7 linked regions of the Ovis aries genome follow. The protein of the gene in region 2 binds, or shares a complex with, the protein of the main gene of each other region. Links are inferred from orthologs where the notes say so. Each region holds a gene or a part of one and is shown on either strand. Other genes may lie near its edges. The genes, in order: MED7, CCNC, CDK8, MED19, MED12, MED1 and MED18.

Region 1 (4,342 bases), on a different chromosome or scaffold from region 2:
AATGTACCATATAGATAGCAAGTGAGAATCTGATGTGTGACACAAGGAGCTCAACCTAGCGACAACCTACAGGGGTGGGATGGGGTAGGAGATGGGAGGGGAGTTCAGGAGGGAGGGGATTTATGTATACCTGTGGCTGATTCATGATATATTCATGATTCATGATTCTGATATATGGCAGAAGTCAACACAATACTGTAAAGCAATTATCTTCCAATTAAAAAAAGAAAAAAAAGGCAAAAAATCCCCACATATATGTAAAATAGCTAATGAGAAGTTGCTGTATAACATGGGGAGCTCAAATCTGGTACTCTGTGACAACCTACAAGTGTGAAATGGAGTGGGGGTCGGGGGGAAGGTTCAAGGGAAAGTTGACATATGTATACTTATGGCTGATTCACAGTTGCCAATTAAGCGATTATCCTTCAATTAAAAATAAATTCTAAAAAAGGATCCTATCCATATAAGACTATCAAGATTTCAAATACTCCATCACTTAACAAACAACACTTTCTATGTGGCAGGTGCTGGATTCCAGCACAGATCACACTCTACCTTTCAGCTTCTTCAGAGTGGTCATGCCAATTTTACAAGCAAGCTCTTAGCTAATCTGGCCCTGCAGGGAAGTCTTCTGCAGTGGAAAACATCCGTTGCCCTGAGGTCCCACTAAACACCATCACAGCCACCATAACACTCTAAGGTGGCAAGCCAGTATCACCAAGAGAATATGGGGAATTCTCATACACAACTGATAGGAAACAAATATGCTTACTTGGAATTAATGTGACAGTATCAAACACTGTAATGCTGATTTCTTTGACCCAACAATCCTTTTTATTATTTTATATTGAAGTATAGCTGATTAACAACACTGTTGCTGTTGTTCAGTTGCTAAGTTGTGTCCAGCTCTTTGCGACCCCATGAACTGCAGCACCTCAGGCCTCCCTGTCCCTATCTCCCAGAGTTTGCTCAAATTCATTTCCACTGAATCAGTGATGCTATCTAATCATCTCATCTTCTGCCTCCCCCTTCTCCTCTTGCCCTCAATCTTTCCCAACATCAAGGTCTTTTCCAATAAGTCAGCTCTTTGCATCAGGTAGCCAAAGTATTGGAGCTTCAGCATCAGTCCTTCCAATGAGTATTTATTGTTGATTTCCTTTAGGACTGACTGGTGACCCAACAATTCTATTTCTAGAAATTTATCCTACAAAAATATTGGTAGAAGTACACAAATCTGTGTATCAGGATATTTAATGCAGCACTGTTTGAAAAGAGCAGGAAAAGCTGGAAATAACCCATACCTTCATCCATACCTTCACCCATATGAGGCCTTGGATAAAATGTCTATATATACACAATATGGCCACTAAGAAAAAAAGGGGTGAAAGTACATGGAATGGAGGGTTATAAATACTGTGTACTGGTTCATTTATTTACAACACACTTATGATAGTTGCAAATAGTTATAACCAATGTTTTAAAACTTTCAAAAATTCAGACTTTTCAGTCTATGAATAATATTCCATATTCTTCAGATTCTTCAAATGTTAACATTTTCCCTCATCTGCCTTATTGGTCTCTCATCTCTTTATCTAAAATACTTCAGTGGGTAGACCCAAATAAGAATGTCCTCTTAGAACCACATAATTAACAAAATCAGAGAATTAGCAATCATCTGGTACTTCAAAATAAATTTCATACAGCCTAGGTTTCACCCCTTCAAGCCTTTTCAGATTGGAATTCCTGTTTTGTGCTTCCCAGAACCTTGTGTAATCCTCTACTTAAACTGCCAATCCCCAAAGGGCAACTAAATGACAGGTATCATTGTTTTATATTCTCTTTTACTTAAGCTTCAAACTAATTCTATGAGTTACTACTACTATCAATTTCATTTTAGAGATGAGGGTCCCAAGTCTGTCTCACCAAGAAGTATCTGTAACCAGATCAAACGGCCAGGAAATGGCATAGCAGGAACTCTCAACCTTGCCTGTTATGGTTGCACAGCACAAGCTCCTTTAAATCAGTAAACAATGAAGCATCTTAGAGTACAAATGGAAACTGACATACAACAGAAATCATGTTTGTTTATACCACTTCTCCAGACTAAACTTGTCAAAGGCAATGGAGGTTTTTCCTAAGACATGCGTCAAGCATCAAAGCTGATTATCAGACTCAAGATCATCTTCTAGTGTTTGTTCCGTTCTGACGGATTTAACCCAAAAAAGAAAGGTATTGTAGGGTCTTATCTCCAGACGTTCGACTCGTTTATCTACTGTAAACGGAGCTGCTGGAATGTAGCTTTAAAACCTCCCCAGAAGATCTAATGAATGACGCCTGGGACCTACCTCCTTCCCCGTCTCCCATTAAATCTTTTGATTTCAGGAATGCTCCCTGAGGAAGAAGGGCGAGACTGGTTAGGGACAAGGCCAGAGAGAGGCCAGAAGACGTGGCGAGGCCACACAGCTCGGTAAACCAGCGGAGCGGGTCTAGAACTCAGGTGTGCCAACCTCCGGCCGGGCTCGGCCTCCCCCCGGAGGCGGCCTAGAGCCCGCCGCGCAGAGGGTACCTTCCCACGAGAGGCCAACTACCCCCACCCACCCCTGACCCCGGCTTCGCGAGCTGCGGGGAAGGTCGCGCTCTCTGAGGAACGCCGGAGAGGAAGGCGGACGAACGTACTCAGCACCAGGCCTCCCCGGACTCCCAGCCCTCCCAAAGGAAGCAGCGGGGTCCGGAAAAAGAAATGTACGAGGAACTGAGGCCCAAGCCGTCGCCGCCCACTTACTTCAGCTCTGGGCTTACACTAGCAGCCGCCTTCTCCACCTCAAGCCGAAATCCAACTTCCGGCCTCCACTTCCAGGAAGAAGCCACTGATACTGTCCTTTGATTGGCTGGAAAGAGCTGTCCTTTAACCGAGGCTCTAGTCCCGCCTCTGTGACGGTTGGCTCACCGTTTCGCGGGCGCATACTCCCTCTCCCCAGCCACCCCTTTCCTCCTACCTTCCCTCTGGCACCTCCCACCCTTCCGTGATTCTGCAGCAGCCACAGGGTTTGGGGTCGCGAAGAATGTGTTACTATTAAAAGTAGCTATTCTTTGCTTTCTTTTTCTATTTTCCTGAATATTCGCTGGAAGGACCAATGCTGAAGCTGGAGCTCCAATACTTTTTCCACCTGATGTGAAGAACTGACTCATTGGAAAAGAGCCTGATACTGGGAAAGATTGAAGGCAGGAGAAGAGGGTAACAGAGGAGGAGATGGTTGCATGACATCACCGACTCAAAGGACATGAGTTTGAGCAAGCTCCTGGAGTTGGTGAAGGACAGGAAGGTCTGGCGTGTTGCAGTCCATGGGGTCGCAAAGAGTCAGACACGACAGCTATTTAATATTGTGAAAATCAAGTCAGTATTTGGATACCAATTATCTGAGGATCCAGTAAAGTCCACCCCTTTGTGACTGTCTGTATCAGTCTGATACTGGATGTATCTATTAATCATCTTTTAATCTGTAGTTTCTTTCCTCTACCTCATTCTCCCCCACCCACAATCAATTTATTTGTTGAAGAAGTTTGTTCACTTTTGAGCATACCCCAGTCAGGCTTTTCTCCATTGAGACCAATGTTACATAAATTGTGACCTCCAGTGGGCATTCTTTAGTCCTCATCTTGGTCTACTTTCAGCAGCATTTGGCACACTTGATCATTTGAATTGCCCCCGGACTGAGTTCTCCTCTTAATGTCATCCAGGTGATAATACTCAAGTGGTATCTAGATCCTGGCAACACCCTGTCCCTTGCACTCAGACCCTCTTAACCAACAGTATTACACATCTTTATTCGACTGCAAAGTCTCCAACATAACAGTTCATCTTCACTCCTCTTTCTCCCATACTCTATTCAAAATTAAGGTATCAGTCTTTTGTATTAGTTCTATGTGGAAATAAGTAAAAGTTCAAAATATTAATTTTCACCATCCGCACTGCCTCCATCCTCATCCATGCCACCATAATCTTCCCCTGACTTCTGAAATAACCCCCTAAATGTCAATAGTTTCCTTGCTTCCACTTTTGTCCTTCCTTAGCCTATTTAAGAGTTGGACATGACTTAGCGACTGAACTGCAACAACAACAAAGCCTATTTTATCATACTGTCTTAAAATATGACTGATCTGGCCACTCTTAAAGTTCTCCAAGGCTTCACATTCATAATAAAATCTAATGTCCTTACCATGGCCTATAGGAAATGCTACAAAAATCTAGTCCTTGGCTACTTCCCCAATAATACTTCCTACCATTTTTTTCTATGCTCAATCTTCTCCACATACAAGGTTTCTTTTTTTCCCCTGAAATTTT
Region 2 (4,231 bases):
CTCAAGAGAACCAGAAAACTTTTCATGTGAATTGGAACAACTTTAATGGCAGATGGTCTTGAAAGTGGGTAAAAATTTACCTATGAAATAATGTGGGCCTGGAGCAATTTTTAAAGAAGTAGCTCTCTGATAACTTTGTTCTGGCTTTAAAATTTACTTTGAAAATGAAGATAACCCAAAGGTACATCTGTGATTACTTACTTTTCTCCTACCTAATTTTGTATTCCTACATCACCGACTGGATGGACATGAGTTTGAGCAAGCTCCAGGAGTTGGTTATGGACAGAGAACCCTAGCAGCGCTACAGTCCATGGGGTCACAAAGAGTCAGACACGACTGAGGGACTGAACTGACCATTCCTTTTCCCCTATATTCAGTAGCATAGTTTAGTCTACTGTTTTGGTTTTCCCTTCCAAAGAGGCAGCTCTTATAATTTGACGGTTTTTTTCCTTTTCAGTATCAGTGTTACCTTTATTATGCCTGTTTTTCTTAGGTTTATTTCACTGTTTCCTTTTTAATATTCTGAAGTAAAATATATAATTTTTATTCTTTTTCAGTTATTCAAGATGTTAACTTTCTTATAAATTTGGCTTTGGCCACATCCCAAAGATATGAATACATATTAATCTCATTATACTATTTCCTAGATAATATGTAAGTGTATTTTAAATGCTCTCTTTGCTACAGTAAAGCATCCAGAGTTGGTTTTGTAGTTTTAGTTTTTGTCACCTGTTCATTATTTCAGTCAACCAGCAAATGTCTAGTGTCCTTCTAGTTTTACTGCATCATGGTCAAAGAATGTATTGTGTTCTACTTAACTTCCTGAAAAATACTACCAGTGTCTCTGTTTCAAAATCATCCATTTCTTCTCCACAGTTATTTCAAATATTTAAAAAGATAAATTCCACAAACAACTGTTTTTCTTCACAGCACACAGCATGGAAGACAAACCAGTTAACGCCACATATTCTCAAATTTAAAATTACACATGATTGTAAGATTCACCATTATTTCCTATGTTACTGAAGGAAACAAAAACTGCCATGCTGATAACAGCAATGTTATCCATTTTTTAACTGCTGCTAGCAGCAGTTAATGTTAAAGGGCGATTTTAAGCCATGAAAAATCATATCAATCTTCCTCTTTCACCAAAATCACCTAAAACAATGGCTTTCATCATCTTTTTGTTTTTCCTGAATTGCTTGTCTTGTCTTTCATATTTGTTACCTTTTGCAGATCAGGGACTCCATGATTCCCAAGGGATCTGAGTAAGATAAAGTGGCCCCTTCCTCCAGGACTATTTGATTAGGAAGGCAAGGACAGTTTTAAAAACAGCACATTTAATTTTATATTTGAAAAGTGAAAAAATAATTGATTTTATAAAATACATCCTGGCCCCTTTTTAATAAGCCAACAGTAAATGAAAGCATAATGAGAAGACTTATCAAAGGGTCAAACTTCTTTTTTTTAAGTTGAAAAAGGCCTGTAACTTCTGATAATCAACAACTGGCTCCCTGTCAATTTTTTCAGCTTCTTTCAAAGTTAACCAGAATACTACTACTTCACTACAGAAATTTTCCATATTTTAATTTTGCCCAAGCAAATATTTCAGTCAGTGAATACAGTGCAAATTAAATATGATCGGAAGTAAAGCTTCTATAGCCATTCATCTCCACAGAACCACTTACAGCAAGAAAACCTGCTTTTCTGAAAATAGGTTTTAAAGCCCATTGTTTCGTTTTTTCTAGTGCAAACGGCTAAAATACCAATTGAATAATATAGGAATCCATCCTCACACTCAAAATTTACTTATGCTCTCTTCGCATGAAAAAGTATTTACACTAAGGTATCATCAAGTTCTGTGTCTTTCAACTATACACTGTACAGCCTACCCAAAGTTCAATTAGTCCCATCACCATCGTCCTATCTGCTTACACAAATGTATTTAGGGAGAAATGCTTTCAATATTACTCTAGTTCTTCCACGGTACAGACGTCAACAAAAACTTATTCTGGAAAACACGTTAAAGATATTGGTAAAGTCTCTAGAAAATACACTTTTAAAACAAAACATGAGACACAGACTAACGAAATGGACAAATGTTGAGAGCAATTGATCTATAACTTACAAACATAAAAACCATATAGGCTTAAAGACAGTGGCAGAATGCGGTTCATGAGCAGAAACAAGCCTGACTCCCTCCTTTCCTTGGAGTAACAATCCACTCAACACAGAAGAATGATAAACGATTACTGATGCCAACCTACTTTACAAATATCAGGCGAGATCGAACCACAACTGTCCTGAGAAGCCAGCCTCACAGTTCTGAACTGTCACACTTCCCATACCTGTGTCCATCCCATATCCCAACCCTCGCCAGCCCCGCCTCTCCCCTGCCCCCAACCTCGGCCTAGCTAAACCAAAAATCAGAAGCTAAAACTCTCGAACCTTCCTCCTCCGGAGACGCAATCCCTCTTACCCTCCCCCGCCAAGAAATTCTCTACCACTCCAAAACCCGGCCAACGGGGCGCGGTGAGGAGAGTCGCCGAAGAAAAAGCACATCCCGCCTCCGGCCGCCGCCTCCCTGGAGCCTCCGCGGCGCTCCGGACAGGGGCCGAGATCCAGGCCAAAAGGAGTCGCAGGCCCCGTACACCCAGCACCTCCAAGAGCCAGGCCCGGAGAAAACGGAAGATCACTTACTAGTGGGAGCTCTGCCAAAAGTTCCCTGCCATGGAACACAGCTTGGCCTGATAAAAAAGCACCAGCCGGCGGAGCGGAGCGCGGAGCGACCATAGACCCAACCCTCCCGGTCACCGCGCTCCTTGATCTGATGGACTCGGCTCCGCTCCGCGGCGGCGACGGTGAGAGGAAGATAGCACCCTATTCTTCTTGACGCCGGCCGGCAACACTCTGCTGTACAAACCAGTTCCTACGCATGGAAGTTCCGGCCCGCCCCGCGGTAGCGGAGGAAAGAGGCGGGGAGGAGATAGCCCTTGCGCACACTGAAAAAGGAGTCGGGAACTGACTCTCACGAAGTCTCGCGGCAGTTGGGAGAGTATCGCGAGAGGTTTTCGTCATTTCCGGCCTAGAGCCCGCGCGGCTCGTGCGTCTGTGGGAGCTAGGATTCACGGAGAAGGGGTGGGATGGGGAAACCGTCCCTTGTTCGGGTTAACTTTACTCCCATCTTACAGGCTTCCAAAGCAGCACAGTGGCTTTGTATTAAACTATACGACTTCCTGACTTCTGTTCTTTCTCCTGTGTTTGGAAAGAGAAATAAAGTTAATTTTGGCTTCAAAGGGCTTCCCTTGTGGCTCAGCTGGTAACGGATCCAGCCGCAATGCGGGAGACCTGGGTTCGATCCCTGTGTTTGGAAGATCCCCTGGAGAAGGGAAAGGCTACCCACTCCAGTATTCTGGCCTGGAGAATTCTATGGACTGTATAATCCATGGGATCGCAAACAGTCGGACACGACTGAGCGACTTTGACACTTTCACTTGGCCTCAAAACCTAACAAGCCGAATAGGTTCTTAATGGAGTTCTTTTGGATTGAAGTGACTGCGAAACAATGCAAAAAGAGATTACGACAAATTACTAGAAGCTAGGAGATTCAGGTCCCTTCCTTCTGTGAACTTTCAGGCAGTTTACCAGAATGCCACATAGAAATACTTCCTGTGTACAACCTGGTTTCTGCTTCCTACCCAGAACTCCAGCGTCTAAATGCCCAGCATCCCTCAGTTTTCTCAGTGGCCCTGCAAGTCAGGAGCATCAGCTTAGGCTTCATTAGTTCAAAGGTAAATCATCTTTGAGGGACCCCATAAATGTAGGTTTAATTGAATTGGCTTGAACCAAAAACTAGTTTCCACTGTTTCCCCATCTATTTCCCATGAAGTGATGGGACCAGATGCCATGATCTTCGTTTTCTGAATGTTGAGCTTTAAGCCAACTTTTTCGCTCTTCTCTTTCACTTTCATCAAGAGGCTTTTTAGTTCCTCTTCACTTTCTGCCATAAGGGTGATGTCATCTGTATATCTGAGGTTATTGATATTTCTCCTGGCAATCTTGATTCCAGCTTATGCTTCTTCCAGCCCAGCGTTTCTCATGATGTACTCTGCATATAAGTTAAATAAGCAAGGTGACAATATACAGCCTTGACGTACTCCTTTCCCTATTTGGAACCAGTCTGTTGTTCCATGTCCAATTCTAGCTGTTGCTTCCTGACCTGCATATAGGT
Region 3 (3,634 bases), on a different chromosome or scaffold from region 2:
AATTTACAACCCAACCCAGGAGAAGGAGGCAGGTGGCTACTAGCAAAGGTTGGTTTCTTTCAGTCTCTTACTGCTTCAGTTGTGATACCCTTCACAGACGCAAGCTTCCAGAAAGTAACAAATATGCAAAGAAATGAACTGACTTTTTTCCTCATAGCCAAATCAGCTGCTGATATTAGATATTCACCTTCTTGTATCACCATTCAAACATCTTAAGAAATGAAGACTACCACAATGCAAAAACATTTATTAGAGTAAATAAGTAAAATTATTTAACAGACTAGTCTTCTGTCAACTATTCTATCATGCTGAGTATTCAATCTTATCCTGAGTATTCTAGAAAAGCAAAAATCAACAGTCTATTTTCTTGCCAACTTACGTATTTCTTCTGAAATCTTTCATTAATGTTGAATGTTCAGGCATCTTTTTTATATCTTCCCAATCTTTATCTGTGAAACACATTGATACAATTTTATATTGTCTAGGTTCCTATTATTAAGAACTTTAATAAAGGTGACTTCACTTCTCATTACATGTCCTACATTTTAACCTCCCTGAAAGCACAGACTTCGAATAAATGGTGAGCTGCAATAAACATCTTTAACTGTAAATGCATTCTCCATATGCTGTTTTTAAATGTCTATTTTCTCTATGTTTTACTATAAGTTATCTCAGTTTTTATACTAAGACACCAACAAGTTATAAACAAATATTTCCATTATTAAATACTTTTATTTTTATCTGTAAAACCACTTTTGTCCCACCATGTCTTGGTTAATCCAGCAACCAATCTTTTCAACAATAAATGCAGTATCTTCCCCCTCAGCAGCTGTAAGCTGTCCTTTTTATACGGCCCTCCTTACGCTCCCCTTATTAAATACACTGCTTTACATGGTAATCAAGGTAAGCAGTTACAGCTGTCTGAAACACAGAGTCGGATGTACTAGCATATGAACAAGTCAGCTAGTATCTGGGCTAGTTTCAATAATAATAACAAAAGCAATCCCAGCTACCAGACCCATCAGGTGGAAACATCTTGGTCAGTTTTGCTGACATTAGAGTTACTCAAACACCACACGCGGTTTGAGAAGCTTGCTGTGTCCATTGGAGGAGTTACTGAGAGTCCACAGGTGCCCACATTCTCTACCAGGTAGCTTCATGGCACCTCAGCTTTTAAATGACCTCCAGAGGTTAGCTTCTCTCTCAACTGGCTTATAAAAATATCTGCTATCTAGCCTCCAGATACCACATATTGTAAACTAAATACATACTTTAAACTCCTAAGAGGAATTTTCTCCTTGACTACTTCCTTGTTCCAATTTCTTTATTTCTGTCAATTTCTCAAGTAGAAATCCTAAGATAATCTTTTATTTTTTTCTCCCAATTACAGGCTTACTCTAAAAAATTATACCATTATCCTTTCTTCTCCATCCAAATCACTTTACACGTGGAGTACTGCTGCAGGTAAAAGATGGTTTCCTGACTTCAGTTACCCCTCTTAAATTTTTACATACCCCTGCCATAGAAACCATTCTAAAGTAGAACACAAATCACAGCACTAGTTCTCAAGAACTTATCACAGATTCTCCTTCTTTAGCACATCAAATCTAAATTCTATTGCTTGGTTTTCAGATTCCCTATAAGCAGATCCCAAACGTGGAACCACGCCCTAAGAACCATTTCAGAACCATCTCCTGTGGAGGCCACCCCTCCTCCAAGGCCCTGTAAGTCAGGCTCCTTCCCCGGGGGACCCCTGAATTGATGAGTGCATTCAGAAGTGGGAAGAAAAGGTCATTCTTCTCCATCTACTCAAACTACTCCTATTCTTTCAACATTCTACTTAGAGCAGCTGAGTGTCAACTCCAAGAGGGCAAGAATCACGTCTGTTATATCAACAATATTTTACACTTAACACAGTGCCTGAAACATGGCAGGTGCTCAATAAATCTTTAGTGAATAAATGAAACTCCCATCTCAACAAAGCAATCTTTGTAGAAATGTTGGTCAATTCTGGACAAAGGTAGCTACTTTGCACTTACTGATAATTAAAGGGAATGTGAAATTATAACTCCCAGATATTTCTGTATTAGTTTTGAGCCACTGATCTGAGAAAAATTCCTAATAAGAAACAACGTATTGTTTCTTATTATTATTTCAATAAGTTATTGATATTTTAAATTATTAACATATTTATTAATAATAAACTTATTGTTTATCATTTCAATAAGAAGTACTTGACTAGCCAAAACTATGCAGGCGTTTCAAATGGAGAGTAATGGACTTCTGTTCTGCGGCACAAGGACTGGGCTGGGGCTGGAGCTCTAAAGCCCGTGACGAAATGCCCCAACCACCACCTCCCAGCGGCAGTCAGAGCAGGCTCACTTGCTGTGCAGGGCTGGGCCTTCACTCACATCCTGCCTGTTCTAACTGGAAAGGATGTTCTTACTGACAAGGGTTATAGAGCAAAAAATGCTACGATTCAATACAATGTGTTTCAAGTAGAAACAGTCTTCAAAATCTGTATTCAAATACCAAACAATGACATTATTATTAAGTGCTATCAGACAAAAAGACATGCTCCTGAATTCTATTCAGTTGCCAATGGTGAGAGCTAAAGGCACTTTTTAAACACAGATATTGCAAATATTTTATCATTTTAAATATTAAACAAAACAAAACCAAAAACCAAAATGAAACAAAAATACACTCCTCAAATTCAAGAAACCCATAAATATTTTTATGCTAATATGTGAACTCTACAAATTTTGCTATTTCTAAGGGTCTTTGATTAATGCAAGTCGTAAATATAAAGAACTGAGTAAGAGTAGCTTTCATCAGCTAAAAATACACATCCTTTCAATGAAGACATCTAAGTTCAAACAACAGTGATTTAAAAACAAAAACAAAAATATAATGTGTACCTGCAGGAAATCCCATTACATTGAATATTCTGTCCAGCTGGTCATGGTGATAAGGATTACTAGTTTTGATGTCCTCTTGTCGACAGTGAAATATTGGTTCTGACGTTAGTAGTTCTGCAAATATACACCCTATAGCCCAAATATCTTTAAAACAAAAACAAACAAAAAAAAAGAGAAAAGAAAAAAAAAAAAAAGAAAGGAAAAAAGAAAAAGAAAGGAGGAAAATAAAGTGGTTCTTTCCAAAAGAAAATGCATCTTTATCTTGGCAGGGAGTGTTTTTTCATTCTTTTTCTCCCCTAATAAGTCATATTAAATCCTAAGCAATTATAAATATAAAAAATGTTGTTTGTAAATATATATTCCCACCCCATCCACCCGTATTTCATTCCTTGTTATACCTCCATCCCACCCAGTGGTTTCATTCCAAGTTCAATCAAATTTATTATCTAAAATTTTTGGTGAGTTTAAGTGCTTCAAACATTACCTTATCTGTGAAATACATACAAAGCTGCACACAGGGCACAGGAACCATAAATAAATAAAACTAAACAAACAAACAAAAAAAAACAGAAAACCCAAACAGCCTTGGAAATTGGGCATACTTGCTGAAAACAATCAGCACCGTTTTTTGAGGTAAAAAACATTTTTTATTTTTTATCTAGTTTATGGACTTATTAGCTTGTAAAGTTTAATAATTATCCTCCTGTGTTAGC
Region 4 (4,372 bases), on a different chromosome or scaffold from region 2:
GGAAAAAGCTCAAATTCCTTCAACTTGCATTTGTCGTTGAAGGTATAAACATCCTACTGAAACATCACTAGCTGGAATCAAGATTGCTGGGATAAAGAGCAACAACCTCAGATAGATGACACCACTCTAATAGCAGAAAGTGAAGAGGAACTTTGGAGCCTCTTGATGAGGGTGAAAGAGAGTGGAAAAGTTGGCTTAAAACTCAACATTCAGAAAACTAAGATCATGGCATCAGGTCCCATCACTTCATGGCAAATAAAAGGCGAAAAAGTGGTGGCAGTGACAGACTCTATTTTCTTGGGCTCCAAAATCACTGCAGACAGTGACTGCAGCCATGGGATTAAAAGATGCTTACTTCTTGAATGGAAAGCTATGATAAACCTAGACAGCATTTTAAAAAAGTAGAGACATCATTTTGCCGATAAAGGTCCATACAGTCAAAGCTATGGACGTGGGATGAACTGAAAGATGTCCCTGAGACTAACATGTATGTCTAAAATGACTCCCGGTTTCCACCTCCTCAAACTTGTTCTTGCCTGACCTCAGCACTACCATCAATCCTGTTATTCAAGCCAAAAATTCGAAATCACCCTCAATTCCTCTCTCCTCCACTTCTATATTCAATCCTTCATTCCTGTCAGTTCTACCTCTAACATTTATCCTGCATCCATTTACTTCTTTCCTCCATTGCTATCGCCTAGTCTAAACCACCTCTTTCCTGGACCACTAAGCAGTAACATTATTGAAAGGGGGATTTTTGTAGAAACTAACGCAATAATTAATTCAGCTATTTCACTACCACTTTGCATTATTACATTCAATAGTTACAGCTGACACACCTGTAAAGTCTTCTCCAGCACCATGAGTTTCATTTTCACTTTCCGTATCAGAAAACAATCACTAAGGTTTTCTGTCTCTTTGTTGGTCTAATAGTCACATCATCTGAATCAGAACTACATTCGGAACAACTATCATCTGCTGCTGCTGCTGCTAAGTCGCTTCAGTCGTGTCCGACTCTGTGCGACCCCATACACGGCAGCCCACCAGGCTCCCCCGTCCCTGGGATTCTCCAGGCAAGAACACTGGAGTGGGTTGCCATTTCCTTCTCCGATGCATGAAAGTGAAAGTGAAGTCACGCGGTAGTGTCCGACTCTTAGCGACCCCGTGGGCTGCAGCACTAGGTGCTGCTCGGACAATAAGAGAAAGTATCTGCATAAAATTCACTGAAAAAATTTTCTTCATTCAAAACTGCATGGTGTGTCACTTTTTAAAATTTTATGAAAATAAACTTGTGTTTATAAGGTACACAAGGTTGGAATAAAAACCTAACAGAGCAAAATGTGAATGATAATGTCAATGATAAGCTGTATGATGAATCCTTGATCAATTTTAAGCTTTAACAACTTCCCACGGTGATGTTAATGGTTTCACTCTCTAAAAAAGGTATTGACATGTTTCTGGTCAATAATATGTTAAAATCTAAATGTCTAACACAGGCCTCTGCCTACACTCTCACTTTATCTATCACTCCTCTGTTCACTTCACTGGAGTCCAGCTGATCTTCTGTTCCTCAAACATTACAAGATTTTTCTCACATTGGGGCTGTTGATTTCATTTTTTTTGTATCCAGTTATTCCTTCTCCCACTCATAAATGGCTAGCTCTTTCTCTGCGCTTACATTTTAACTCTAAAGTAACCTACTCAGAAAGAGCTTCTCTGATCACTCTAGCTAAAGCAGTTCAGCTCCCTTAAATCTTATCACATTTTTTTTTCCTACAGCCGTAACTGCTTTGTGATTTCACCCTGTTACCTTTTGCCTCCTCCATGGGCACGTAAATTCCCAAACAGGCAAGGATCTTGTCAGCCTTATTCACAGTTGTATCTTCAGTGTACAATAACCCCTGGTACATAAAATAGGTGCTCAACGAAATAAGTTTTTGAATGAAAGAGTCTGGTCCAATTCTATTCACTTGTTCCAACAGATGAGGAAAGGCCCAGGCCCAGAGAAAAAAGAAAGGCAACAAACCAACAGGAAGTCGGAAGCAGATTTGGAACTAGGTCCGCAAGGATGTTAAATAAGGACTCTCAAATTCCAAACTTGAACCCTGGGTGCTTTTTCAGTTAGCCACTCAGTCGTGTCCGACTCTGCGACCCCATCGACTGTAGCCCTCCAGGCTCTTCCGTCCACGGAATTTTCCAAGCAGGGATACTGCAGTGGGTAGCCTTTCCCTTCTCCAGGGTTCTTCCCACCTGAGGGCTCAAACCCAGGTCTGCCGCATTGCAGGCGGATTCTTCACCGTCTGAACCTCCAGGGAGTAACTTTTAGGGAATCATAAAACCACCATCAGCTTCAGAGACAGGGCGGAGCGTGAAAGGCGGCCACAGAGACCCATTCTTCTCATTCCCAGTCCATCCTGAGGATTCCTGTCGTGCCTTTGGCCTTGAATTCGCAGTCGTTTCCGACACGGAGCTCCGAAATCCCCGCACGCGCCGCCCGGGCTTCCCCTCACCTCCCTCGGCATCTAGGAGCCACGCCCAGCCCCACCTCGCGGCGATCTGATTGGCCGGCTTCGGCCGGGCCTCGGACTCACCTGGCAGCTCCCTCATTAGGTAGAAGGGGCCGCAGCCTGCCGCCGACTTGTCGCTCCCGGGAGGGGCCGAAGCGGCGGTCGGGGGCGGGGCCGGGCCGGGCCCCCCGCCCGGAGGCGGTGGCGGCGGGGGGGGCGGCTTTCCGGGTCCGAAGCCGAGTGCCGCTGGGGGAGGTGGCGGGTCAGCCTGGGCCCCGAACAGCGCCGTGAAATTCTCCATCGTCCCCTCTGCCCCGGCGCCGTCCCGGTGTCTGGCGTTAATGATTCTCATTGGTTAATCTTTTCACGGGGTACCGCCCTTTTCCTCCAGGAGTCGTTTACCATTGGACTGCCTCTGGCCCTGCCTACCTTCTTCCGGCAACGACTTCCGTCGCCTTCTGAGAACGTTCAGGAAATACTCCTTAACATTATTAAATTTTCCGAGGCCTCCGCTCGCAGCAATCGCTTAACCAATGAAATGACTTAGGTAGTAAAAGCGACAGCTAGGTTAGCCAATAGCATATCAAATCCCTCTCTCACCTCCCTTACCTGCCGTAGAGGGCCAATCAGAGATCTAGCTCCGGGTCTAGAGGCGGGCCATCTGACACTTGGCCCAATGGAAACCTTCAATGGTGAGAGAGGCGGGACCAGACCTACGGAAGCCGAAGAGAGCGGCCGGTGCCTCAGGGGGCCGAGAAGATGGCGGTCCTAGCGCCTTTGATTGCTCTCGTGTATTCAGTCCCGCGACTTTCACGATGGCTGGCTCGACCTTACTACTTTTTGTCAGCCCTGCTCTCTGCTGCCTTCCTACTCGTCAGGAAGCTGCCCCCTGTCTGCGAAAGTCTCCCCACGCAACGCGAAGACGGCAACCCGTGTGACTTTGACTGGGTGAGCGACCCTCCTCGGGACCCCACGACCTTGACTGTCCCCGCCCTGGTGGTCGCAGCCGGGAGCCCCGAGGGACCGTTTTGAGAACGCCTCAGGTTCCGGGCCTCTTAGCGGACTTGACAGACTGCTAAGAGTGTAGGGCGTGGATTGTTACCGAGCCTAACCCTCCTCTTGTTTAGGGTGAGAAAGCAGCCGGTTAGCTCGCCCAGCAGTCTCAGCCTTCTGCCTTTTGAGGCCAAGCTCCTTCCCACCTCCCAATCCATGCTCGACCAGAGTCTTCCCCAGACTGGGCCCTCGCACTCTCTTCCAGTGTTGCTCGTTAATAAAGAACCAGTGAGTTGTACAAGGCGAGTAGTATTTGTAGTATTCTCGTTTTATTGATGAAGAAACGGATCTTGGCGTAGTTAGGAGACTCGTCCAAGGTCACACAACTAGTGAGCGACGAGGATTTGCAGCCACTCTTTAGCCACGGTAACAGCACACAGCCATTTCTTAAAATCAAGTTAACAGTCTCTCAGGGCGGACTGTGTGCTGGGCTGTGTGCCGCATACTGGGGATGTAAAAATAAATAAAATTGTTAGGCCTATGGAAATGGAATTGTAAAAAAAAAAAAAAAGAAAAAAACGCTGTAAAGAAATCTGTCTCAAGCCTCTTGGAGTTCTCCCTGAACTGGAATGGAGGGACCACTCAGAAAAATAACTTGAGGGGCTTCCCTGGTGGTCCAGGGGTTAAGACTGCACTGCCTTTGCAGGGGGCCTGGGTTCCATCCCTGGTCAGGGAACTAAGATTCTGCATGCTTTAAGGGGAAAAAAAAATGTAAAATAAGTTGAAGCTCTCGCCCTCTACTGAATAGCCACATACATGTTCTGAGGAAAGACAGTCACCTGAGTTTTTGTCTTTTTTTCCCAAAGCCCCAA
Region 5 (3,142 bases), on a different chromosome or scaffold from region 2:
ATGGGATTCTCTAGGCAGGAATACTAGAGTGGGTTGCCATTTCCTTCTCCAGGGGATCTTCCCAAGCCAGGAATCAAACCCAGCTCCCCTGCATTGGCAGGCAGATTCTTCACCAACTGAGCTATAAGGGAAGCCCATCTTCTCCACGAGACCTGTGTTAATCTCAACATGCCCAAATCATCACATCATTTTCCTGATCAAGAGCACTTTCTGGGATTGTGTCTCAACCCCGTGCCAAGCATTCCAAGCTCTCTCTCAACCTATCCACTCCCAGCCTATCCCTACTCTTTCCCTGTCATGAATCTTAAACTCCAGCCAAGCTCTTCTCCTGCCTGTCCTCCCAGCCACCCTACACGTCTTTGTTAATGCTACGTCCTCTACCTGGGATCCCCCTCCTTTTCCTCCTCCCCACAAATCCAAGCCACAGCTATCCTTCAAAGGCCAACTCAAGTCTGACCTCCTTCATGAAACTTTCTCTGATGACTCAGGCCCACAATGATATCATCCCCCACTTTTCCTGAATTCCCATTTTATTTCACAGCACCCAACTGCACAGCTGCTTGTATCTTTCATTACCACGTTCTCTAAGCACTCTTCTGAATAAGTCTCTTCTTCCCAGCTAGAGTAAAAGTTCTGTGTGGTGAAGGACTTTGGATTTTTTTTCAAATAGCTTTCCTCACCCTACCTGGTCCTAGCATAGTGCTGGCCACAGAGTCGGCACTTAATCAGTACCTCTAAGTTAGGGACTTTTCTTCTGGTCCACCCGGCAGTGTTCTCAACCCTAAGCTGCAGAACCTCAAGACATGATTACAATGTCTTAAGTAAGGCCTAACTGACATTCAGTAAGGTGGGAGGATGTGTTTGCTGGTCCATTCCAGCACTAAGCTGCTCTAATGGTAGCTAGATGACTCCTTCCCATACACTGCATCTATGAACTCCAGGTCTTTCCTTCTCACAAGCATATAAGTGATGTATCCTCTTTGGTTCTCAAAGAAACGTTGGGAAGCAGGCATGAGAGTACTGGCCACCAGTGCCCCTTCCAGCTCTGGCATTTTGTGTTGACAGGCCAGGTATGTGCTCTTGATGCCTCCAAAAGTTCTGACCAGTCTCACCACATCCAGGCCCAGGTTTTCCCAAATCAAAAGCCTCAGTGTCTCCGCCATCCCTGGCTCATTTGGGTACCTTTGAGTGGAGGTCAGCCCATGTCCATAGGTTGGGGCCTGCTGGTGCACATAGCCACTGGGCCGCTGCTGCAGGTGGCGAGTAGGATCTACAAGAGTAGGATTGGTAGAAGGGTGGGTGCTCTGGTAAGGCTGGCTGGAGTAGCTGGGGGGCACCATGGTACCTGCAGGGCCTGTGTGTTGCTGCAATCCCACATGAGAAACATAAGAAGTATAGCCCTGGAGGGGAGGAGGAGAGAGGATGTCAGAGCCAGGGGTGTGCAGACCAGCCTGCCTGGAGCTCCCCAAGTCTCCCCATCTTGCGCCCTTACCTGGGAGGTCTGCAAACCGTACGAAGAACTGGGAGTCATCTGATGGACAGATGACTGTCCCAACATCCCTTGACTCTGTTAGAGGGGAAAAAGGAAACAAACTCAAACTCTGGAAATGCTTTCTGTCACCTCGTTTCTTGCATCTCCCACTCTGCATGTCCTTGTGAAGACCCCAAATTCCTGTGACCTTCAAAAGCCCCTCTCCCTGACGGCCCTCCCTACGGCCCCTCTCACTATCTTTGCCTGGAGCTGTTGGCGAAGGCGCTGTCCTTGGGGCACTGCAGGCTGCTGCTGTCGGTACACAGACGTCTTGTAGGAGGCAGGTTCCAGTCCCATGACACCAGTCATGGTCGTGGGCAGCACTCCGGGGTAAGGTGGGCGGGTAGGCAGCTTCTGCATTGGTAACCGCACGGGGCGGTATGGATCCACGCGGGGGCCACCTGGAAAGGGGAGCCAGCTGACCTCTTTAGGCTCTTTGTCCCTCTGTCCCCTGCTCAGCACCCTGCGCATCCATAGCTCCTGGGAGAAGTAGCATCGCCCTTCAGATGGGAGGAATATTCGGGTCAGTCCCTTGCACCCAGTGGCTGGTACTCACCTGCTGGCAGTGGCTGGTTCTGGGTGTAGAGGCCTATGGAGCTCTGCCTATAGCTAAGGTGGGAGATGGAGCCAGGGTTGGCATGGTGCAGGAGGTCTGGAGGTACTGTCACTCCGTAGGGGCCACTTCGGCCTGGGCCCATTCCATAGTCCTGTGTGAATGGCAAGGGAGGAAGGTGAGAGGGCTGGGGTCAAGTGGGAAAGGAGGGCAGAACAGGAGGTGGAGCTACGTGGCTCATTGTTTTAATTCTAAAAGTACTCCTTCCTCAAATGCCCCTAGCCCTCCCACAACCAGGATCAGGAAGAGAGTGGGGCTGGGAAAGACGTGCACAGGGACGGCATGCAAGGGGATGGCAGCAGGGGTGCTCACTTCTGTCTTGACGGCAGGCTGGCTGCGCTTCTTGCCCTTGGTGGACTTCTTCTTGCGTTCCTCAGTGCTGGGTGGAGCAGCTCCAGGTTTGTCAGTTTTGGGGGGCTCTGGAGCCTTTTTTTCAGGCTCTAGCAGGGTGGGGGCAGGGGGTTCCTCATCTTCTGGAGGCAGTGGCAGTGGCTCCAGGTAGTAGGCGCGGGGCCGGGGCCTCAGGTGTGTGTGGTACAGCAGCAGTCGCTGCTGCTCCTCTCCACGGGCCACGCGCCGGTCCACCCGGACTGTTCCAAACCAGCCCCAAGACAGTGGCGCTGATGGCTTCAAGCCCTCAAAAAGATCCCAGGGAGAGATCTTTTGTTTGGTGGAAACCTGAAGACCCTGCTCCAGAAAATGAGAAATAGTGAGCTGCTGAAACTTGGAAAATACAACACAGACCTTGAAGGCTTGCAGGAGAGGGAAAAGTATCTGTTGGCAACAAAAGAAAAAAAAAGTTCATGGGTAGATTCAGGGAAGACGGCGAGAGGAAGACAGACAGACATGGATATACACACAGGGGAGGGAGAATGAAGAGGGGACTGTAGGGAGCAGAGGGAGACAGAGACAGACACCAACAGTCAGAGGAAGACAGAGAAGCAGGAAGGCAGAGAAAGAAAAGGCAGTGAGAGACTGAAGGCAGCCAGAGAGACAGA
Region 6 (3,634 bases), on a different chromosome or scaffold from region 2:
CAACACTTCCATGAAGAATCTTATCCAAGGGACCAGCATTGGTTGCTTTCCTGCAAGACAAATGATCTATGTTTATTTACATTTAAGCCCTGAAGATATTAGTATACAATGTGATAATGAGTTCAGCCCTTACACATCTTTTAATTCTATCCTAATGACTTTATCTTGGGCATTTAACAATTATATTTCACCCTCAAGGTGAAGGGATTATTTCTGAGAATACACCAGTGTATAATATGGTGAACAAAAATTACAACTATACTATTTATCAGAAGGGAGGCCAGGTTTCACAAGTCTTCTTATAAAACCTATGGAATACCAACCAACAACTTAGGGATACTGATATTCAGAAAATGAAATGCAATCATTTGGGAAGTGAAAGGATATGGACAAGATGTACAGTACAGGTAAAATACAGATGCATAGTAACATACATCTATAATACATATTTTTTAAATAACAGAAGCCTAGTAAACCATAGACAAAACAACTTTAAGAACAAGGTCAAAGAGAACTGATACTTTAGCCAGTCTTACCAGTACATAACTGCCATTTTAGATAGATCTTGTTCTAAGGATTGGAGAGCCAAGTACATTTTAGTCTTCAATTTGCTAGAAAGTAAACAGAACAAGAATTAGTTAACAAATATACATAAACACAAACAGTGAAAGCCTAGAGAGCAAATCTACCTTGGAGGCAACTTAGATCTTTAAAAAAAAAAAAAATTTTTTTTTTAAATCATTAGTGATCTACCAAAACTAATTTTTATCTCTACTTAAAAGACCAAGCAAGTAAGCAGAATCCCAGGTAGGTTAAAAATATAAAACCAGTCCCACGACAATTTCTTTCAGCCTAGAAATCAATATGCTGAAGATACCTCAAGGATTATACCTTGCTACCTTCTAGCACTATAATCATTAATCCAGATACTGTTTATTTAAAATACCTTTAAAAGACATTAAGTTAGAAGCTAAGTTATAGACTGTCAGTATGAATAGAAATCAGAAATGAGCTAGGGCAGAAGACTTGGCAAATTTCTAAGAACAAAATGATTTATAGATTTATACTAATTTTTCAAACAAAAGCAAAAATACTTACTTGTCCCCTGGAAGGTTATAAAGATTAACAAGACCCTTAAGGTGCTTAGAAAATTCATCAAAATTTTTTTCCCTGTGAGATGTTCAGGGAAGAGGAGAGAGGGAAGAGAATAAAACATACAATTACTACTCAATCTTCTCAGCAAAGTCCCCAAAATCAAGGCTATATAAAACTAATCTTAATAATTTGCTTTAATTCCCCCCCCCATAAGTTTTCTAGAATCGGTCAAAAGTTGCAAAAGAAAATACAATATTCTCCTTTCTCTGCTCCATTTTTTGGGAGAAGGTGCTAATAAACAGTATAAAAGATAGTCAAAAAGACCTGTTACCTCACATACTAATTTGTTCTTAAGTAATGAGACTTAGTTTAAATCACTTCCCCTCTTAATTTGTAACTGAGATGACTGGATGTCATGAGGAAAAAAAAATCTTTTAGAGAGAAAAAGGAAGTAAATAAATTAGGAAGATAGGACACTTTCATGTATACAATAAGAGCAGAGAAAGGAAATGAACAGTGGAAGAGAGATGGGAGACCTAAGCAAAGGCAGAATAGGTAGTGTGGAGGCAAATGATATATTTTAAAATGTTCCTATAACAAATTACCCCAGGAAAAAGAAACTAGTACCAGGAATTCTGGCATCCTAAAACCTAACATTCAGAGGTGGATTCTTAGTCAAATAAGCTTTTATAGGCAGGAATCCAACACAACTCAACAATTCTAAGTCTCTATATCCTTTTTCAAACTTAAAAAAAAAATGTCTGTTGAAAACTGTACTGCTCTGACAATGTCAGATACTTGATCAGGCATTTATTGAATACTTATTGCCCAAAGTGCCATGAAGACACTAAAAAGAAACAAGAGCAACAGCGAAATATATTCCTTACCTTAAAATCATCATCTATACAGAGTGATTAAAAATACCTGGTAAAGACTAATATTCTTTCTAAGGTTCCCACTTCCAAACATGCTTACAAATTAACTTTAGAACACCATCAGTTCATAAACTGGTACAGTCTCCTATTCTACATTAGAACCAGAAATACTGGTTTCCTGGACTATTCTGATAATACATCTTTGCCAGACTTATTGAGTAAATGAAATCATAAAAGGTTATTTCTTATGTTGCATTGCAATTTTTCAAAGCTCATTCAAATCTGGTGTATTTGGCTGTAAGGACATTAAAGTGATCACTGGAAAGCTGAGTGTAAAACTTATTTCTCAATGTTAAACCCTTAAGACTCCTCCGTATCTGATAACTTCACTATATTTAAAACATAAAATTGATGTAACAACTTTCTCAAATTTCCAGAGTTAATTCTGGGTTTAAATTTAAGCATGGAAATCTCCACTCAATTAAAGGAGAAAAGATAAGCCAATGACAAAAAAACATCAATTACTAAAAGAGACTGTCTTCAAGCCTAGCACTTTACTATGATTTGGGACCCATAAACCTTAAATATAAAACAATTTTTCTCAAAGTGAAAAAAAGTTCTTTCCATAGTATAGACTCAATTTTCTCAAGCTTTCTCTAATTCAATAATTAGGTTCTGTTTATTTTGTTCCACAGAGAATTCCTAAGGTTAACTCAGTAGTTCTCAACCAGGAGTGATTTTGTCCTCCAAAGGACGTCTGACAATATCTGGAGATATTTTTGATTATCATAGATAATCAAAGTCACAGATCAGGAGGTTATCATAGATCCTAACTAGCTGGGAGAAACCAGGGATGCTGTTTAACATCCAAGAATGAACTGGGCAACCCCCTAGAGCAAAGAATCTCCCAACCCAAAATGGCAATACTGTCAAGGTTGGGAAATCCTAGGACAGATGCAATAGAGTGTTAAAAAAAAAAAAAGCTAAGTCAATTCTAAAAGTGATCAAGTACAGACTTTGAAAAATCTTGACCCAAGAAAATAAAGTTGTTCCTTAGAAAAGTAAATTCTGACCATTCTCAAAATGTAACTATAAAGAACAGCACTGTCTGCCAATAAAAGGGAATGTAAATGTCAGCTGCTCACCTTAGCTGCTGTACAAGCTCTGGACAGCTCTGAAATTAAAGAAATTATGTTAAAACTCTAAACTACTTTAAGATGCTTGAAGACATCAAAAGTTTTTTTCTTTTTTATTAATAACACATGCTTTATAACAGAAACATTAAAACTATAGAAGGTCCTTATATTAAGATATCAAAGACATCTTCTTCCTACTTGGTAAACCATGGGGTTGGGTCAGGAAATTAAAAATCAAATATATTGAAATAGTTTATAAAGGAATCAACTTTCAGTTGCTTGTTTAAAACATTAGGACCTCTCTTTAAAGCCATCCTTGGAATTCATATCCAATTGTCTGGTTATACACCTTTTACATTCCTGTCTATTACAGGGCTTTTCAGAGACATTAGCTATATACAAGATTATCTGTCCTTCTTGATTATAAGTTCTTTGAGGATAGGAATTTAAATTATTTGTATCCCCAGCACCTATTGTTCAACTGCGGCTCATGTTTGTTGATATGAATTGGAAAAAGTTCCTCTGGTG
Region 7 (4,296 bases), on a different chromosome or scaffold from region 2:
AATATGAGATGGCTATGTGAAGGGCTGGAACAAAGTATAGACGCCGGGGGATCAGAGGTAGCAAAGAGCTTGGGGAATCCAAAGAAATGAAAGTGTGGCTGAAGTATGGTAAGCAAGATGGAAGATGATCATGAAATGAGCATTTGGGATGGGCCAAAGCAGGCAGGACTTATGTGTCGCCCATGCTAAAGGCTGTATTTTATTGTACGGCCACTGGGCAGTTATTAGCTCCACACTTTATTCTCCATGCAACAAGGAAAGATATGACTGGATTTACATTTTAAAAAGATCATTCTAGGAAAATTGGTATGGATGCTTCAACCAGACAGGGTCACATGAAAAAAAGTGGCAATGAGGGGAGGCGGGTCCAAGTTAAAAAAGGCTTAAGAGACACGGTTTTCATATGTAATGCATGAGATGATATTATGCCCTGGATCAAAACACAAGATGGAGGAAACTTCTGAATATGAATTATATATTAGATGATATCAGAAATATACTATGACTCTTTCAGGTAATAATGATAGTATTGGGGTTATTAAGGAAAATACGCTTGCTTTTTTAGAGATGAATACTGAAAGTGTTTGGGGGTAAAATGTTACGAGATCTGAATCTGTCTTCAAAAACGGCAAAAGGAAAAAGATAGAGCAAATATGGCAAAAGGTCAGAAACAGACATCTAGATGACTAGATCTAGAAATCTAGGCTGACTGTTCACAGGAATTCCCTGGTCATCCAGTGGTTAGGACTTGGTGCTCCCAATGCAGGGGACCCAGGTTTCATCCCTGGTTCAGGAGCTAAGATCCTGCATGCCATGCTGCTGCTGCTGCTAAGTCGCTTCAGTTGTGCCCGACTCTGTGCAACCCCATAGACTCTATTTTCTTTTCTCTGAGATTGATTCCTGAATGCATGGCTTAAGCAACTGATGACTGACAGCGGCACTTACTGAGATGGGAAAGGCTGAAGTAGAGGCAGATTGAGGAGTGCAATTAACAATTTTATTTTGTCCATTGTAAGTTACTAAACGGATGATCTGAATTAAAGTCTAAATTCTTCCACTAAAGATTAAATGACCTCCAGAAAATCATAACCCTCCCTGGTCTTGAGCTTTCTCATCTGGGAAAGTTACTTCACTTCTATTTCCTGATCTAGAAGATGGAACTAATAACAGTATCATAACATTACCATATGATCTATTAATCTCACTTCTGGGCATTCACTCCTAAAGAATCCAAAGCAGGATCTTGAAGAGGTATGTGCACACTCATGTTCACTGAGTATTATCTATGATAACAATTTGGGTAGAAGCAATCCAAATGTCTGACAGACAAACGAATAAAGAAAATATGGTATGTACATACAGTGGAACATTATTCAGATTTTTAAAAGGAGATTCTCTTACATGCGAAAGGGTTAATGTTGAGGATATTATACTAAGTGAAATAAGCCAGTCATAAAAAGACACATACTGAATGCTTCCACTCCTATGAGGTTATCTAACGTTGTCAAAATTAGAAACATCAAGTAGAAAGGTTGTTGCCAAGGCCTACGGCAAGGGGAAAGGAGGAATTAGTGTTTAACAGGAATAGAATTTCAATTCTGCAAGATGAAAAAGTTCTAGAGATTAGCTATACAACAATGTGAAATACTTAACATTACTGAACTGTATGCTTAAAAATGTTTAATATGGTAAACTTAATGTTATGTATTTGTGACCATAATTAAAAGTAAATTGGGGAATAAAAGGGTGCCAGAAATTATGCAGGTAGCTTTTATATAACAGCCTCTCATCTCCATGGAAAGCGGAACAGAAAACAGGAAAACAGGTAATTCAAGCTCCCTAGTTCACTTACCCTGCAGCAGGTACTCCATCATGTTAATGGTGCCCCCGGTGACAGGCATCATGGTGACTGGAGGTGCCTCCATGTTTATCTGTTTAAGTTGAAAACGACAGAACTAGATTTGGAATCCCCAGTCAGGTAACACACAGGATACACCTGGGGAAGAGTTATACTTGTTAATACATGGGAGAGGCAGAGAGAGACCAGATCTGCTTGGGTCATTGGCCTGGAGATGAAAATTCATTCATCCACCCATTCAAAACTTTAGTAACTGCTATAGGCCAGTTTCAGGTGATCCAGAAATACACAAAGGAGGCCTGATCATGGAGTTACAGCATAATCTTTCAGTCTCAAGGTCTGAAACCCTTCAATGGTTTTCTGTGCACCCTGGGACTCAATGTCTTTCTTCTAAAATGAGGCCATGATATTAACCCCCAAGTCTTTGTGGCTCAGATGACATAATGGACCTGCAACTAAAGACTGAAAAGTGACTTAAGGACTCTTGTATGCCCTTCAATTTACAGATGAGGATGTTGAGGCTTGGGGAGGAGCCTAAGGACACACAATAGGTGGGTGGCAGAACCTATACCAGACTAAAATCTAGGCGTTCCACCTCTCTAAAAACCTTTTAAAGAGATTGAAGCGAAAGCACGAAGTTCTTTCCACTGATGCTTTGTGTTAGTCGTTCAGTCGTGTCCGACTCTTTGTGACCCCATCGACTTAGGCCTGGCTTCTCTATCCATGGGGCTTTCCAGGCAAGGATACTGGAGTGGGTTGCCATTTCCTTCTCCGGGGGAATCTTCCCAATTCAGGGATCAAACCCGGGTCTCCTGCATTGCAGGCGGATGCTTTACCGTCTGAGTTTACTAGGGAAGCCCCAATGATGCTTTAGGGCCTCCTAAACCCAGCATCAAAACGTGCCCACTTATACCAAAAACACACCGCCAAGCGCGTTCCAGCCTCTTCCAGGAAAGCGGGGGACCGTATTCACCCGAGCACCTCGGAGCTTTCGAGCAACAATCACCACCCCCAGCCCTAAACTTGAAAACCCCTAGGCAGTGCAACAATTCTCTCGCCTCTTCCCACGTCTGACAAAAACCTTTCGTCGCGCAAACCTCGACACCGCCACTCTGCGACGTAAGGGTGCCGAGAGGACAAAAAAAGTCTCTTCCGCTGTACGGCAAGCAGGGGCGCATGCGCAAACTCCGATGCTGCACGGAAGATGGCGGCCTCCTTAGGAGGGGTCCTTTGGGAGATTCAGGCGGCATTGCAGTCATACGCCATCTTCCAGGAAAATATTTTTTTCAACTGTGAAGACCTGGACGTGTTTTTGTCCAGGAAATCTCTTGGACCTGAAAGGACAAAGAGACCCTGGGGAAGAGAGCTTCAGAAAAAGAGGAGAGATTGTCGTAAAACAGAAACTTATTTTGGGTGGGTATCTGATGATAGAACTTCCCAGTTGCTCAGCGGTAATGAATCTGCCTGCAGGAGACACAGAAGCCTCTGGTTGGATCCCTGGGTCGGGAGGATCCCCTGGAGGAGGGCACGGCCGGAGGTTCACTCAGAACAGCTCCCGCTCCTAAGGAAGAGCTGCGCTTGGAGACTTTTGGTCCTCATCTGGCCCCTCCCTCCGGCCGGCGTGCGCGGCCCCGCGGGGCTGGGGTGGGGCCCACCTGCGCCTCCTGGGGGGCGTGCAACCCGCCTCAGTGGGACTCAGTCTCCTAACCACCGCCGCCGCCACACCTTACATCAGTTTGGCTTCTGATGTTTTCATTTCCCTTGCTGAGGTGCTGCTTCTGGGTTAAAGTCATCTTATTGCCTGTCCATTTGTAGACAGGACAAGGTCGCTCGAATAGATCAGGAGTCGAGCTCAGAGTGGGCTTCCCTGGTGGCTCAGATGGTAAAGCGTCTGATCCCCTGGAGAAGGAAATGGCAACCCACTCCAGTACTTTTGCCTGGAAAATTCCATGGCCGGAGGAGCCTGGCAGGCTACAGTCTATGGGATCGCAAAGAGTCGGACACGACTGAGCAACTTCACTCACTCCGGCTCAGAGTAGGTCAAAAGTACACACATGTTGGGAGGAGTGGGAATCAAAACAGAAGGAGGGTTGCCAAGTACAGCCAGGACTAGGTGTTCACCATGTATGCTTAATAAAGGCCAGAATCTCATCTGTCTCTGGTGGGAGGGTCTGTTGGTTTCACTGGATCGAATTCAACCGATCCGAACCAGTTTCATGGAATAAAACACTGGACTTCGGTGGCCACTGTTCCCATCAAGAAAGGATGGTCGCGTTTGGAAGTAAACATGTTGGAGAGCTGTAAACACCACAAACCTAAATACAGGTCACAAGGCTGAAACTGGGTCTAATCAGACCTGAAACCAAGGAAAAGAATTCGGCTTTTCCAGCTGGCTCTCCTATGAACTTTTGATGGTTTACTGCAGCTGGATTACAGGC

The links.
Region 1: CCNC (region 2) and MED7 share a complex: the UniProt entries of both Homo sapiens proteins name them as parts of the mediator complex. The link is inferred for Ovis aries from reciprocal best matches to the Homo sapiens genes CCNC and MED7.
Region 3: the proteins of CCNC (region 2) and CDK8 are in contact, whole or in part, in a crystal structure (PDB 5CEI), measured with the Homo sapiens proteins. The link is inferred for Ovis aries from reciprocal best matches to the Homo sapiens genes CCNC and CDK8. Residues at the interface, in NP_005181.2 of Homo sapiens: Met1, Ala2, Gly3, Asn4, Ser8, Ser9, His10, Gln13, Phe72, Tyr76, Lys79, Ser80, Ile81, Asp82, Leu85, Leu93, Lys96, Val97, Glu98, Glu99, Phe100, Gly101, Val102, Tyr130, His134, Leu136, Glu137, Glu139, Phe140, Tyr141; in NP_001251.1 of Homo sapiens: Met1, Asp2, Tyr3, Asp4, Phe5, Lys6, Leu9, Arg13, Gly58, Ile59, Ser60, Met61, Cys64, Arg65, Ile67, Ala68, Leu69, Arg71, Glu72, Leu73, Val84, Leu86, Ser87, His88, Arg91, Lys92, Val93, Asn145, Trp146, Val147.
Region 4: CCNC (region 2) and MED19 share a complex: the UniProt entries of both Homo sapiens proteins name them as parts of the mediator complex. The link is inferred for Ovis aries from reciprocal best matches to the Homo sapiens genes CCNC and MED19.
Region 5: the proteins of CCNC (region 2) and MED12 are in contact, whole or in part, in a cryo-EM structure (PDB 8TQC), measured with the Homo sapiens proteins. The link is inferred for Ovis aries from reciprocal best matches to the Homo sapiens genes CCNC and MED12. Residues at the interface, in NP_005181.2 of Homo sapiens: Gly3, Asn4, Phe5, Trp6, Gln7, Tyr11, Ile15, Asp17, Gln19, Asp20, Lys23, Gln49, Glu53, Leu57, Arg58, Gln59, Ile62, Tyr153, Arg157, Pro158, Gln161, Tyr162, Asp165, Leu173, Pro174, Trp177, Arg178, Ile179, Asn181, Asp182; in NP_005111.2 of Homo sapiens: Ile6, Leu7, Ser8, Tyr9, Glu10, Pro13, Leu14, Lys15, Arg18, Leu19, Pro22, Asp23, Val24, Tyr25, Asn47, Pro49, Ala50, Val51, Asp54, Glu55, His56, Gly57, Ser58, Ala59, Lys60, Phe64, Pro66, Ile69, Asn72, Phe73.
Region 6: CCNC (region 2) and MED1 share a complex: the UniProt entries of both Homo sapiens proteins name them as parts of the mediator complex. The link is inferred for Ovis aries from reciprocal best matches to the Homo sapiens genes CCNC and MED1.
Region 7: CCNC (region 2) and MED18 share a complex: the UniProt entries of both Homo sapiens proteins name them as parts of the mediator complex. The link is inferred for Ovis aries from reciprocal best matches to the Homo sapiens genes CCNC and MED18.

What each region holds. Positions count from the first base shown.
Region 1 is NC_056058.1:66,400,712-66,405,053, forward strand, and holds the start of MED7 (mediator of RNA polymerase II transcription subunit 7), read right to left. Parts: upstream 2,836-4,342; 5' UTR 2,783-2,835; intron 2,392-2,782; 5' UTR 2,346-2,391; intron 1-2,345. UniProt on the Homo sapiens protein: Component of the Mediator complex, a coactivator involved in the regulated transcription of nearly all RNA polymerase II-dependent genes.
Region 2 is NC_056061.1:37,531,226-37,535,456, reverse strand, and holds the start of CCNC (cyclin-C), read right to left. Parts: upstream 2,861-4,231; 5' UTR 2,733-2,860; coding exon 2,701-2,732; intron 1-2,700. UniProt on the Homo sapiens protein: Component of the Mediator complex, a coactivator involved in regulated gene transcription of nearly all RNA polymerase II-dependent genes.
Region 3 is NC_056063.1:33,370,146-33,373,779, forward strand, and holds part of CDK8 (cyclin-dependent kinase 8), read right to left. Parts: intron 3,066-3,634; coding exon 2,922-3,065; intron 450-2,921; coding exon 380-449; intron 1-379.
Region 4 is NC_056068.1:79,750,204-79,754,575, forward strand, and holds the start of MED19 (mediator of RNA polymerase II transcription subunit 19), read right to left. Parts: upstream 2,842-4,372; 5' UTR 2,809-2,841; coding exon 2,592-2,808; intron 2,534-2,591; exon of another isoform or gene 1,911-2,533; coding exon of another isoform or gene 1,811-1,910; intron 1-1,810. Other genes in the region: TMX2 (thioredoxin-related transmembrane protein 2), read left to right, coding at 3,267-3,455. UniProt on the Homo sapiens protein: Component of the Mediator complex, a coactivator involved in the regulated transcription of nearly all RNA polymerase II-dependent genes.
Region 5 is NC_056080.1:63,847,689-63,850,830, reverse strand, and holds part of MED12 (mediator of RNA polymerase II transcription subunit 12), read right to left. Parts: intron 2,919-3,142; coding exon 2,457-2,918; intron 2,239-2,456; coding exon 2,088-2,238; intron 1,933-2,087; coding exon 1,727-1,932; intron 1,568-1,726; coding exon 1,493-1,567; intron 1,401-1,492; coding exon 1,183-1,400; intron 1-1,182. UniProt on the Homo sapiens protein: Component of the Mediator complex, a coactivator involved in the regulated transcription of nearly all RNA polymerase II-dependent genes.
Region 6 is NC_056064.1:39,599,847-39,603,480, forward strand, and holds part of MED1 (mediator of RNA polymerase II transcription subunit 1), read right to left. Parts: intron 3,145-3,634; coding exon 3,116-3,144; intron 1,171-3,115; coding exon 1,099-1,170; intron 612-1,098; coding exon 537-611; intron 51-536; coding exon 1-50. UniProt on the Homo sapiens protein: Component of the Mediator complex, a coactivator involved in the regulated transcription of nearly all RNA polymerase II-dependent genes.
Region 7 is NC_056055.1:238,803,631-238,807,926, forward strand, and holds the start of MED18 (mediator of RNA polymerase II transcription subunit 18), read right to left. Parts: upstream 2,931-4,296; 5' UTR 2,783-2,930; exon of another isoform or gene 2,772-2,782; intron 1,997-2,771; exon of another isoform or gene 1,932-1,996; 5' UTR 1,926-1,931; coding exon 1,853-1,925; intron 1-1,852. UniProt on the Homo sapiens protein: Component of the Mediator complex, a coactivator involved in the regulated transcription of nearly all RNA polymerase II-dependent genes.